Mus musculus: one gene and its partners. The protein of the gene in region 2 interacts with the protein of the main gene of each other region in a pairwise test. Links are inferred from orthologs where the notes say so. Each region holds a gene or a part of one and is shown on either strand. Other genes may lie near its edges.

Region 1 (3,750 bases), on a different chromosome or scaffold from region 2:
ACAGCTATAATATGTTCATATACATGAAATAAATAAATAAATCTTAAAAAAATAAAATAAAAAGACTCTGAGGAGGTCAGAATCAACAGAGCACCTACAGGGCCCACACCGCAGCTGGTTTCCCCTAACGTTAGTTTCCTGTGAGTGGGACAGACTTAAGACCCCACTTAAAAAGAAAGAGAAAAGCTCCCACGCCAAGAGAGTGCTTAGTGGAGAGAGGGGCTTGCCACACAAGCCTGACAACCAGTTTGGTTCTGAAAATTAAAAGAGGAAGGAAAAGAAAAACTCTACAAAGCATCCTCTGTCTGCCACATGTGTGCATAGCATGCGTGCGTGCGCGCGCGCACGCGCGCACACACACACACACACACACACACACACACACACACACACACCATAAGTAACCTGGTGGGGGCTGGGGAGACGGCTCAGCAATTAGGAGCATCTGCTACTCCTCCAGAGGCCTGCTTGGTTCCCAGGGCCCATGCAGGGCAGCTCACAACAGTTTGTAACTCCAGCTCCAGGGAATCCCAGCCACGCCCTCTTCTGGCTTCCAAGGGTTCCTGTCCCACACATATGCACACATAAAAATAAATCTAAAAAATACAAACATATATACAGATATTTGCATAGTCACATGTAAATAAAATTACAAGAATGCATACACATACACATATATACTCATACACTCATGCACACACACACACACATCACAGCTTCAGCAGGGGGGCATTTCATGGAATCCTAGAACCATGCCCACTCCCACACCTTAAACACTGCCTACTGGATTGGAAGCTGACAGTGGGGGTGGGCAGCCAACTCTTTCAGAGCTCAGAGAAGACAAAGGGCCTCCTCTAGACCACGGCACTAAGAAAATTCCAGAACCAGGCTGGGGATTTGGCTCTGCTGGTAGAGTTCTTGGGCATATAGGAAGCCCAGAGTTCCAGCCCCACCACTGCATGGACCAGGCATGGTAGAATACAGTTATCACAACACTCAAGGGGTAGAGGCAGGAACGTCACATGTTCAAGGTCACTCTAGCTATCTATCAAGTTCCAGGCCAGCCTGCGCTACAAAAGATCATGTCTCATACACACAAAGTTCCAAAACCAGGATCAACCTTGGCTCACACCTCCTTCTCAATATTCAGCACCTCCCTTTATGGCTCTCACAATTTCACCACCTCAATCCAGGCTTAAGCGGCGCCACTTTGACATGTTCTGAGACTTAACATGTAAGATTCTTGCTCTGATTAAAACTATCTTCACTTGGCACATCCAAAGCACACTCCCTGCCCCTCTGAGGATAAGCCTTGATCATTCAATAAACCCAAACTTAAGAAAGGTGGTTAGGAAATGAAAGCAGAGCCAGAGCGAGAGGATCTCTGTTCTTCAGGGATTGAAGGCAAGTGAGGGTAAGAACTATCAGTCCATTCCAGACCCTCTTCCAGAACACCCTGGTAACACCAATCCCTAGATTCCAGGATTCACTTGGAAATGAACTCTAGGAAAAAGGACCCTGCTGTGGGTGCCGCGCCCTCTGGGGACACTCAAGTCTGGGCCACAAGCAAGTCTGAGCCACGAGCTGACTTGGCTCAGAGAACCGGGTCAGGAAAACCCTTCAAGCCACGGTGCTTCTAAAAACCACCTTTGATGCTAGTCACACTCTGAAAGGCAACTGGAAGACAGAATCAAAAAGTAATTCACAACCAACAAATCCCTACAAACTTCTTGAACCCAGCTCCCAGGTCACCCAAAGTACAAGTTCCTACCTTTAAGAAAGAAGTTTGGGCAACATTTTATGGATCTGAAAGGGACGGAGGAAGTGGACCAACTCAGGAGGGAGGCCCGAAAAGGCAGGAAGTGGCCATTTGTGGAAAAAGGGAAGGACAGGCAGCAAGGGAAGAGAAACTGGGGCGCCTCCCCCATGTCCTCAGCACCCCCAGATCCGGCTGGGAGTCTCTCCGGCTTTCCCAAAAGACACCTTTCAAGCCAAGCGGGGCGCAGTCCGGGGCGTTGTCCTTCATGAGACGTGTCCCTCCCTCCCAACGTGGAACTAGGAGGCCTGCAATCGCGCGGAGAGCGTACTCACTTCCCTATCCTAGGGCGCACCCCTCGTCTGCGGTCCCCTGCGGGGCACAGCATCCTTACCTGGGGGAGCCGTCCCACCGCCGCTCTGGCTATGCGCACAACCAGAATCGCCGCTCTCACGAGCGCCCCGCCCCGTCCTGGGGCCGGACCCCAGCTGTCCCCAGTCGATTTGTCATTGAGGAGTGGTGAGCTCGCGCGTCCCCACCCCCCGGAGCGCGTTCCCGCTGTCCGCCCGGCAACCCTGTCCTCTCCAGAGGCAGCCCTCCCTTCCGTTCTCCGAGGCCACGCCTATTGACCAATCCGAAGAGGTACTTCCAAACCTTCACCAATGAGAAAACACATTGAGTGTGTGGGCGTGGCACCCACGGAACGGCCCCACCCATTCCCCCTTCCTTTCGGCTCCCCAGCCGGACTCGCGCACGTGACCGCTGCTGCAGTGGCAGAGCTTGGGAACTGGTCTGGGGACGCCGGGGCGTGGGCGGGTGCACTCCTGGGGAAGCCGGAGCCAGGCCAGAGTTGTGAAAAAGCCAAGAAAGACTGAGCTGATAGAAGCCAATGAGGAGGACTGTGTGGCCAAGTGTGGCCTGCGCCCTAGTGTGGAAGGTGATAAGCAGCTTTGAAGACCCTTGGTCAGGGACTGGAAACTCCAGGTGGCATCGCCTCTAGCTTCGCCCATGACACCCTACTAGTAAAGGAATTACAGCTATTAATTTGACCTAGGTCACAGGCCAGGTCAGGAACCCTAACCCTAGCTATAGCCAGCGGCAAGAACTACAAGCTGCAGGCTGCCCTTCATCACCCTCCTACGCTCAGGAGCTTATTTTCTTACGCGTTTTCGACTAGGGTTGATTTTCCCAGCTGAACATTAGCCACTTCTCACTGCCACAGTTGTGTGATACCCCACCCACCCGTACGAACTGGTGCTTTTCACTGTATGGTAATTAATAATTCAACGTTTGTTTCTGATCTTTAAGGAGGGAAACAGTGATAACCGTAGCCCGCACTGTGTAATTATTCTTGCTGATAATTCTAAACTAGGATACTTGTATATTATATCAGAGGCTTTTGTGCTTTGTTTAAATGGTTCCATACCAGCAACTAACAGACCTAGTCCTCCCACTGACAGCATAAGGAGAAGCCAAGTCTCCCTGGGCTAGCAGGTGGCTGGAGGGGTAAAGACACCCGCAGAGACAAGCCCCACAGCCTCAACAGACTTGGACCCCTGTAGACCCCTGGGAACCACATAATGGGAAGAGAAAACTGGCTCCCTCAAGTTGTCCTCTGATGTGCACTCCCTCTTCTCTCTCTCTCTCTCTCTCTCTCTCTCAACCTTCCTCCCTCTGCACACGCAAATTTAAAAGAAAGAAAAACTGCCAGGGCTCTTAAAAAAAAAGATTTATTTTATGTGCATGGGGGTTTCTTTCTCTTTTTGGGGGGTGGTGGTGGGAGGGGAGGGGTGGTCTTATTTTATTGTTTTTTGTTTTTTGTGTGAGACAGGGTTTCTCTGTGTGACTGCCCTGGCTGTCCTGGAATTCACTTTGTAGACCAGGCTGGCCTCAGACTCATAAAGATCTGCCTGTCTCTGCCTCCTAGTACTGGCATTGAAGGCATGCAACACCATGCCTGGCTATGTGCATGGTGTTTTACCTGCACTGAATCT
Region 2 (3,750 bases):
ACCTGGGCCTGCTAACACTGAGTACAGAAAAGCCAGGCATAGATAGTGATGTGTCTCAGCACTGAGGAAACTGTGGTATGAGGATCACTTCAGTCAAAGAGTTCAGATCAACCTGAGGGCTGGTGAGATGGCTCAACAGGTAAGAGCACCCGACTGCTCTTCCAAAAGGTCCTGAGTTCAAATCCCAGCAACCACATGGTGGCTCACAACCATCCGTAATGAGATCTGACTCCCTCTTCTGGTGTGTCTGAAGACAGCTACAGTGTACTTACATATAATAAATAAATAAATCTTTAAAAAAAAAAAAAAAAACAAAAGATCAACCTGAATAGTGATCAATCAATAGTGAGACCCTCTCAAAGAAAGAAGAGTAAAACCACAGCCTGTGTGAAAAGATAACTGAGAGACAAGTTTATCCCTAGTGTTTCCTACGTGGTAAGATCCTGCTGTAGCTATACACTTAGAGATTCTATTTGGTACCAAGTCTTTTACCAGAATACAGATTCTTAAACTGTGAGTGGCAATCCTGTAGGTTATACAGGGTTGTGGAACTGAATGCAGAGAGAGGAAAAAAAAGAAAAAGCGAAATGAAAGTCTTCTAAACACATGGGATCAAAAATGAATTAAAAAATGAAATCCATAGTGAATCAAAGGTGTTACCAGCAGTACTCAATCCAACTTCATCCCAGCCTTGGTTCTGAACTTTCTCTCTGTGCACGTTGCCATGTCATGAAGTACCCAAGAGTATTCAACCCAAACCCTACAACTCAGCGTCAAAGTACTATATGTTACAAATAGCAGTTGTTTTCACTGTATGTTACGATTTGAATAGAAAATATCTCCTATAGGCTCAGAACCTCCTAACACTGTTTTAGGCAGTTATGAAAGCTTACAGATGAAGAGCCTTGTTGTGAAAGTGAGTCACTAGGGGGTGGGGACTTGAGGTTTCAGAGCCCAGCCCCACATCCTGACTTCTATCTGCTTCCTGTTCCTGAGGGGTCCCAGGGCACAGTCCTGCCACTATGAGGCAGCCTCACTAGCATAGGCTATATAACTCCAATCTATAAACTGGAGTGAGACCTTCTTCCCTTAAACTGCTTAGCAGGTACTTGGTTACAACACTGAAAAAACTAACACACTACATATATACATACATACATACAAACAAATATATACATATATACACACATACATATATGTGTGTATACATATATGTGTGTATTCATATATGTATATATGTATGTGTATATATGTATATATTATGCATATGTATATACGTATATACACACACACAAACAAAATGTTCTGTTCTTAAAGGAGAAAAATGGTTTTATTACAGAAAACAAAGACTATTCACATTTCCCTACTGGCATTCTTCAGCATGTAATCACCAAGTGATTGGGTCTTTAAATCGTGTTGTGTCCGAATTTTAATCTGAAAAACTGGTTTTTACGTTGCTGATTTGAAGTTCTAAAAGATCACCAATGGATTCGGCTTGGGAGTAAGGACAAATTTGCAACAATCTCCAAAATGTTTCTAACTGTCCTTCTACCACTGTGTACTATGTATTTGTATGTAGAACTGCTCTTCCTACCGATGATTAGAAAATTAAAATAATCAATCAGCTCTGGAAAGCCCTGAAGATGCTCAGTGTCCCGTAGTTACAAATATTAAACCAAGACTTAACTATGTATGTGAAAAGAACCGAGTTATCCAACTCTATGCTTTCATCTTTAATAAATGGTAAGTTTGATGTATACAAAAATTGTCCTAAAATAAAAAGCTTTGTGATTTACAGATAGTGAATACATAGATTGTCTACCTATTTTATAAACTTACATATAAAACCATGGAAATTCTTTATAAATTTTTGGTGGCAAAAGTTGAAGAAGCCCCATACTAGAATACAGCCTTTACAAATGTTTTGAATGTAATCTTCAAGGTATCACCTTTTGGAAGGTAATAGTTCAAAATGTCTGGTACAGTAAATTAAATAATTGAAAAAGAAAAAAAAAGGACTACTTTCTAATAACTCCAAAAATTGTTTCCAACAAACAGAGGTTCCCCTGCTTAAAAATACTGTCTACTGTGTCAAACAAAAGAGAACATGTAAGAGGCAAGCACACATCAGCGTCTTTCTGTCACCTTTCGAATCACAAATTGTTCACACTTAGATCATTCTTGTTTTGACTTTCAGTTCCTTGCCATTGGGGGAATCTGTTACCAAGCCTGGGCCATCACAAGCTAAGCTTTATAAACAAAGTTAGTAGAGAGATAACCAGTTGCCATTAGTGTTTTTAGTGTAAGGCATTCAAATGGCCGAATGGAGGTGTGGCTGAACCCGCACTTGCTGCTCCCAGAGTAGTAAAGGAAACCATTCAAGCTTCCCGTCCACGTTAGCGCGGGGGACTTAAACAGATTCCAAGCAGACCCTGCACACCAGCCGCTCCTCCGGGTCCAGCCCGGCGGCCTGCGCGGAGGCGGGTGGGGAAGGCTCGGCCCGCGGCTCCCACACTCAGCCCCGCGCCCCGGGTCCCTCACCGCGCCTCCCCAGGTCGCCCAGCCCCGACGGTCCCGTGCCACCGCGGAATTCCACTCCGGACCCGGGGCGTCCTCACCCAGGACGCGACACTCACCTGCAGCTTGCAGGCGGTGTCAGGTCCCAGCCAACCGGTTCCAGGCCGCCGCAGCCAGCACTAGGGCCGCACTTCCGCACGCCGCGAGCGCCGAGCGCGTCGATCCGCCGCCTAGCCGAGCACCGAGTGCTGGATGGACCGCCTCTTCCCAGAGGGGAAGGAATAGAAGGAGGACCAGACTATGGAGAAGGGAAGTTAGAGGATATCGACGGCATGGAAGTGGACAGAGAGGGAAGAAAGGGAAAGTGGGGAGGGAGGAGGAGAGAAGGGTGGAGAGGTGGAAAGGAGAAGAGGAATTGATGGGAAAGGGAGAAAAGAAGGAGGGAAGCAGAAAGGAGGAGAGGGAGAAAGTGGAAGGGTGGAATTCGGGGAGGAAAAAGAGGGGAGGGGTAAAGAGGATACAGTCGGTTAGAGTCACAGTAGATGTTGCCCAAGAGTCCACAGCGGTCAGGGATCAGCACCAGGTCAAGAGGCAAACCTCAGTCAAAGGACTGCATCTAGCCAGGAGTGCCCGCCTTATTAAGATTTCTCACAGGTCAGAGCTTTGGGGTCCCAAGGGTCTGAGTGGCAAATTGATTTGCAAACTCACAAGACCCCCATATTATAGAAACGACTGCTATCTACAGCCCATAAGCCCTAAGGTTTGAAGGTACCCTCCTGTGGACTCTGGAGATGGCCAGCTGAACTGAAGCAGACATATCCCTGTGGCTTCCTCTGTAGCAGGAACGAAGGACAGTGATCTTCAGCAGAGGATAATGGCAGAAGCATAGGGTCTACCTGTGGTTGTGTTGCCATGACTGTGGAGAGAAGTAGCTACGGGGTGCCCATTATCTAAGACCAATAACAGCCTAACCTTTCTAATGCTGAGACCCTTTAATACAGTTCCCCATATCGTGGTGACCCCCAACCATAAAATTATTATGTTGCTACTTCATAGCTGTAATTTTACTACTGTTATGAAGGCAATGTAAATATCTGTTTTCCGATGGTCTTAAACAACCCCTGCGTGAAGATCATTCCCCCAGGGGGGTTAAGAGCCACTGGCCTAAGCTATTTTTTTTTCAGATATCTTTCTGTGAAGCATACCTTATGCTTCATTCAGTACATACACTGA
Region 3 (3,750 bases), on a different chromosome or scaffold from region 2:
ATTACTCAGGGGTTCTCTTCCTGCACAAACATCAGACAAAGAAGCAAGTTGGGGAGGAAAGGGTTTATTCAGCTTATACTTCCAAATTGCTGTTGATCACGAAAGGAAGTCAGGACTGGAACTCAAGCAAGTCCGGAAGCAGGAGCTGATGCAGAGGCCATGGAGGGATGTTACTTACTGGCTTGCTTAGCTTACCTTCTTATAGAACCCAAGACTACCAGCCCAGGGATGGCACCACCCACAATGGGCCCTCCCATCCTTGATCACTAATTGAGAAAATGCCTTACAGCTGGATCTCACGGAGGCATTTCCCCAACTGAAGCTCCTTTCTCTGTGATAACTCCAGCCTGTGTCAAGATGACACCCAAACCCAGCCAGTACAATGCCCCTTAATATGTCCTAGGGCCCGGATGTGACATTAAAGCTCTACTCCATCTTACGCTATGGAAACTGTCTCTGGGCTTTGTTCACTGTTTCCCTTTTTCTCAAATTCTTGTCACTGCAAATTCCAACTTGCCCTCAAGGATTCTGATAACACACTGCCTCTTCTTTGAAGCCTTCTCTCCTAGAAAAACTCCTCTTCTGTCCCCATCTTACCTCTGCTGACTACAGCTCTTCCAACCTGTGTTTTATAGCTAGCGCCGTCTAGCCTCTACTACTCCGAAAAGTAGTTCTCTGTTGGCAAGAACCTTATCTTATCCATCTTTATATTCCTAGCATTTGCCGAGAGGCACACAGTGCACACTCAGTAAACATTTTAGGGAATACTGTCCCACTCAATAACAGACCAGGGATCGCTCCCTCAGAGTTACCTCTTTCCAACTTTCGCATCTGTAAGAGAATACCCAGATTCAAACTCTACTGTAATTGATTGCTTCCTCCATGCCAACGTGAAATCTGTGAGCATATCCTGTAACTTCTTCATCTACATATCCTATCCCTCTCCCCCACAACTTGCTGCCAACACAGCCACCAAGACTTACTGCCTTTAAGTAATAGCACCCGTTATCTCTTTCTTTTTTCTTTAGGCTTCTACAAGTTCCCTGAAAAACTAGTAAATAACTTTAAAGCAGTTCTCATTCTACCACACACCTGGTCAACAGCAACCCAGCTTTCTCAAGACATGCCTTGCACTCAGAACACTCTGTTCTTTCTTTGCTTAAGCACTTTCCCATGCAGGGCATACCACTATCTTTTCCTTATTCAAACCTACATTTCTCCATTTGTATTTAGTTGACTCAATGAAAGTCTCAATCCACACGGCTCTTTTCATGTAAATGTATAGAGCCCTTACTGTATTTACGAGGCAAATGCTTGCTATCTAATGGGGACATGAGTGTCATCTCCTAGATCTCCACAGCCATCTCTTGAGTAGTAGGAGGAGGAGGGGTGCTCTATCACAGGTTTGTGTGTTGGGTACTCACTAACAAGCTCTTGGCGTAACCTGCTTGATTGCAATAGTAAAAGCTGGCCAAAAGAACCATTAGCAATGGCCAATATTCACCATAGTACATGGTAAACGGTAAAAACAGCAGAGGGCTGGTCATAACTCATGAAGGAATTAGACATAAGCATTGCTACTATATTGCTATATTATATTGCTAATATAAATATTGCTATTCACTAAGTGCCAGGCAGCACTCTGGGGTATAATGGAGAATCTTTAAGACATGAACGGGTTGACGTAGCATTGTGATAGTCAGTCTTCTTTGGATCTAGAGATGAATTCTCCAGTGTTTATACTGAACTTTACATTATGCCAGTATTATTAATAGTGGCCTTCACAACTATTTCCCAGGTCTAAAAACCACGCCCATATTCTGGGTTCTCTTTAGATCTTCGCCTTCTAAAACCTCAAGGCTGCCCGTTACAGAGGCAGCTAACCTCGGTTCATTGTGTACATACATACTTCCTTCAGCTTAATAGGGCCATCGTTACACTGTGTGTCCATGCTAGTGCCTTAGTGGGTTGGGCCCATGTACTGCAGTGACATCTCAACTCGGAGACATGTCATCCAGAAAAAAAAACTGTTCAGAGGCTGGGCAATGCACTTAGAAGATTTATAAGGACATGTTATATTGATTCGGACCAGCAGAAGCCCAGGTCACGTCTTTCTCTTCCAGGCCACGCTAGTAGGACAAAAATGAAATCTGTCCCGGATGGGCGGAACTGTGGACAGAGACTTGGCTGCCTCCCGGCTCCGCCTTTTCCCAGAGCCCCGGACAGCACCGGCTAAGGAAGGACGCAGCCCGGGTTCTGCAGCCCCGAAGTGGAGCAGGGTGGGTGGGCCGGGTCACTGGGGAGTGGCCGACCCGGCGCGGATGCAACACTGCCTCCACTTAGGCTACCACCTCCAAGACCGCAGGTCCCCGGCCGGAAGCTTACCGCGAGGCCAGCCGGCCGGCCGAGGTTGGTGCTCCAAGACGGACTCAGGAAGGGCGCCGGCAGCAATAGCAGCTTTGAAGCACTTTTCATTGAACAGGGAAAAGCAGCGGCCAGAACCCGCCACTTCCCGTATCCGGTCACGTGTCTCTCTGCACCGGAAGTTGACCCTGTGGAGCCGGAAATGGAGACAGTAGAGGAAAAACAGATTGGCCAATGGACTTGGAGGAGGCGGAACAGCGCTTTGATGGATGGGGCAGAGGCGGACTGTGGGCGTGGAAAAGACAGGGGCGGGGCTTGCAAGCACATAGGCCAGTGATTCTCAACCTGCGGGTCAAACGACCCCTTCCTTCATAGTGGTCATATAGCAGATATCCAATATATCAGATATTTGCATTACAATTGATAACAGTAGCAAAATTACAGTTTTAAAGTAGAAATTAAATAATTTAATAGTTGGGACCCACTGCAACATGAGGAAAGGTATTAAAAGGTTGCAGCATTAGGAATGTTGAGAACTGTTAGCATAGGCTGATTTGAGGAGTTGATAATGGTGATGTTTCCTTTTTGTAGACGTACCCATTCTAATATTTGTAGCAACTCATTTGAGAGCGCATTAAATGTTCTCTCCTGTGCATATGTAAAACCCTGCTAACTAGATTCTTGGAAGAACTTTAGTGAGTTAAGTCAGATTCTCTGGGATAGATGTCACTAGTACCCTTAAGTTCTGGACACTTAATTCCCATAAACAGCTTTGGTCATTTACCCACTTCATACTCTACCCTGACTGCACAGACCTTCTTCTTGGGTGTTTTTTTAGAAACTTCACCCATGCCACCTCACATCAGATACTGAAATAGAATCTTTGTTTTAAAGGTGATGCTTGCTTGTTTCAGTGTGAGAAACATAAATGATGCCGAGAGTTCGAGCTATAAGACAAGTGATTCATTTAGGCCGCATCCCTGGCAGGGATTGAGTGCTGCAAATTTTGATTTCCAGGTTAAAAAATAAAAATTAAAAAAAGCCATTCAATTTTTTTATACTGAAGGAGTTCGCAATGAGGTAGGACTAGAAAAGGTGATTGCGAAGTTAGGATAACATACTCTACCAGGATGGTTTTCTTTCTTCTTTTTTTCTTTGCTGTTTTTTTTCCATTTATTTATTTACTTTGCATGTGGATCTTAGCCTACCCCTCCTTCCAATTCTCACCCTCCTTCCCAGCCTCTCCCTCATTCTCTGCTTCCCTTCTCTTCTGAGAAGGGGTGGGGTGGAGACCTTCTTGGATACCAACCCACCCTGTGACATCAAGTCACTGCAGGACTAGGCACATAGGATGAATTTTTTGTTGTTGTTGTTGTTTTGTTTTTC

Evidence for each region.
Region 1: the proteins of Exoc2 (region 2) and Ralb interact in a two-hybrid assay, tested with the Homo sapiens proteins (2 studies listed by BioGRID). The link is inferred for Mus musculus from reciprocal best matches to the Homo sapiens genes EXOC2 and RALB.
Region 3: the proteins of Exoc2 (region 2) and Exoc1 interact in binary tests that used the Homo sapiens proteins (3 or more experiments, as listed by UniProt). The link is inferred for Mus musculus from reciprocal best matches to the Homo sapiens genes EXOC2 and EXOC1.

Annotation. Positions count from the first base shown.
Region 1 is NC_000067.6:119,502,427-119,506,176, forward strand, and holds the start of Ralb (ras-related protein Ral-B), read right to left. Parts: upstream 2,357-3,750; 5' UTR 2,151-2,356; intron 1,835-2,150; exon of another isoform or gene 1,772-1,834; intron 1-1,771. UniProt on the Homo sapiens protein: Multifunctional GTPase involved in a variety of cellular processes including gene expression, cell migration, cell proliferation, oncogenic transformation and membrane trafficking.
Region 2 is NC_000079.6:30,971,360-30,975,109, forward strand, and holds the start of Exoc2 (exocyst complex component 2), read right to left. Parts: upstream 2,689-3,750; 5' UTR 2,637-2,688; intron 1-2,636. UniProt on the Homo sapiens protein: Component of the exocyst complex involved in the docking of exocytic vesicles with fusion sites on the plasma membrane.
Region 3 is NC_000071.6:76,528,098-76,531,847, reverse strand, and holds the start of Exoc1 (exocyst complex component 1), read right to left. Parts: upstream 2,538-3,750; 5' UTR 2,386-2,537; intron 1-2,385.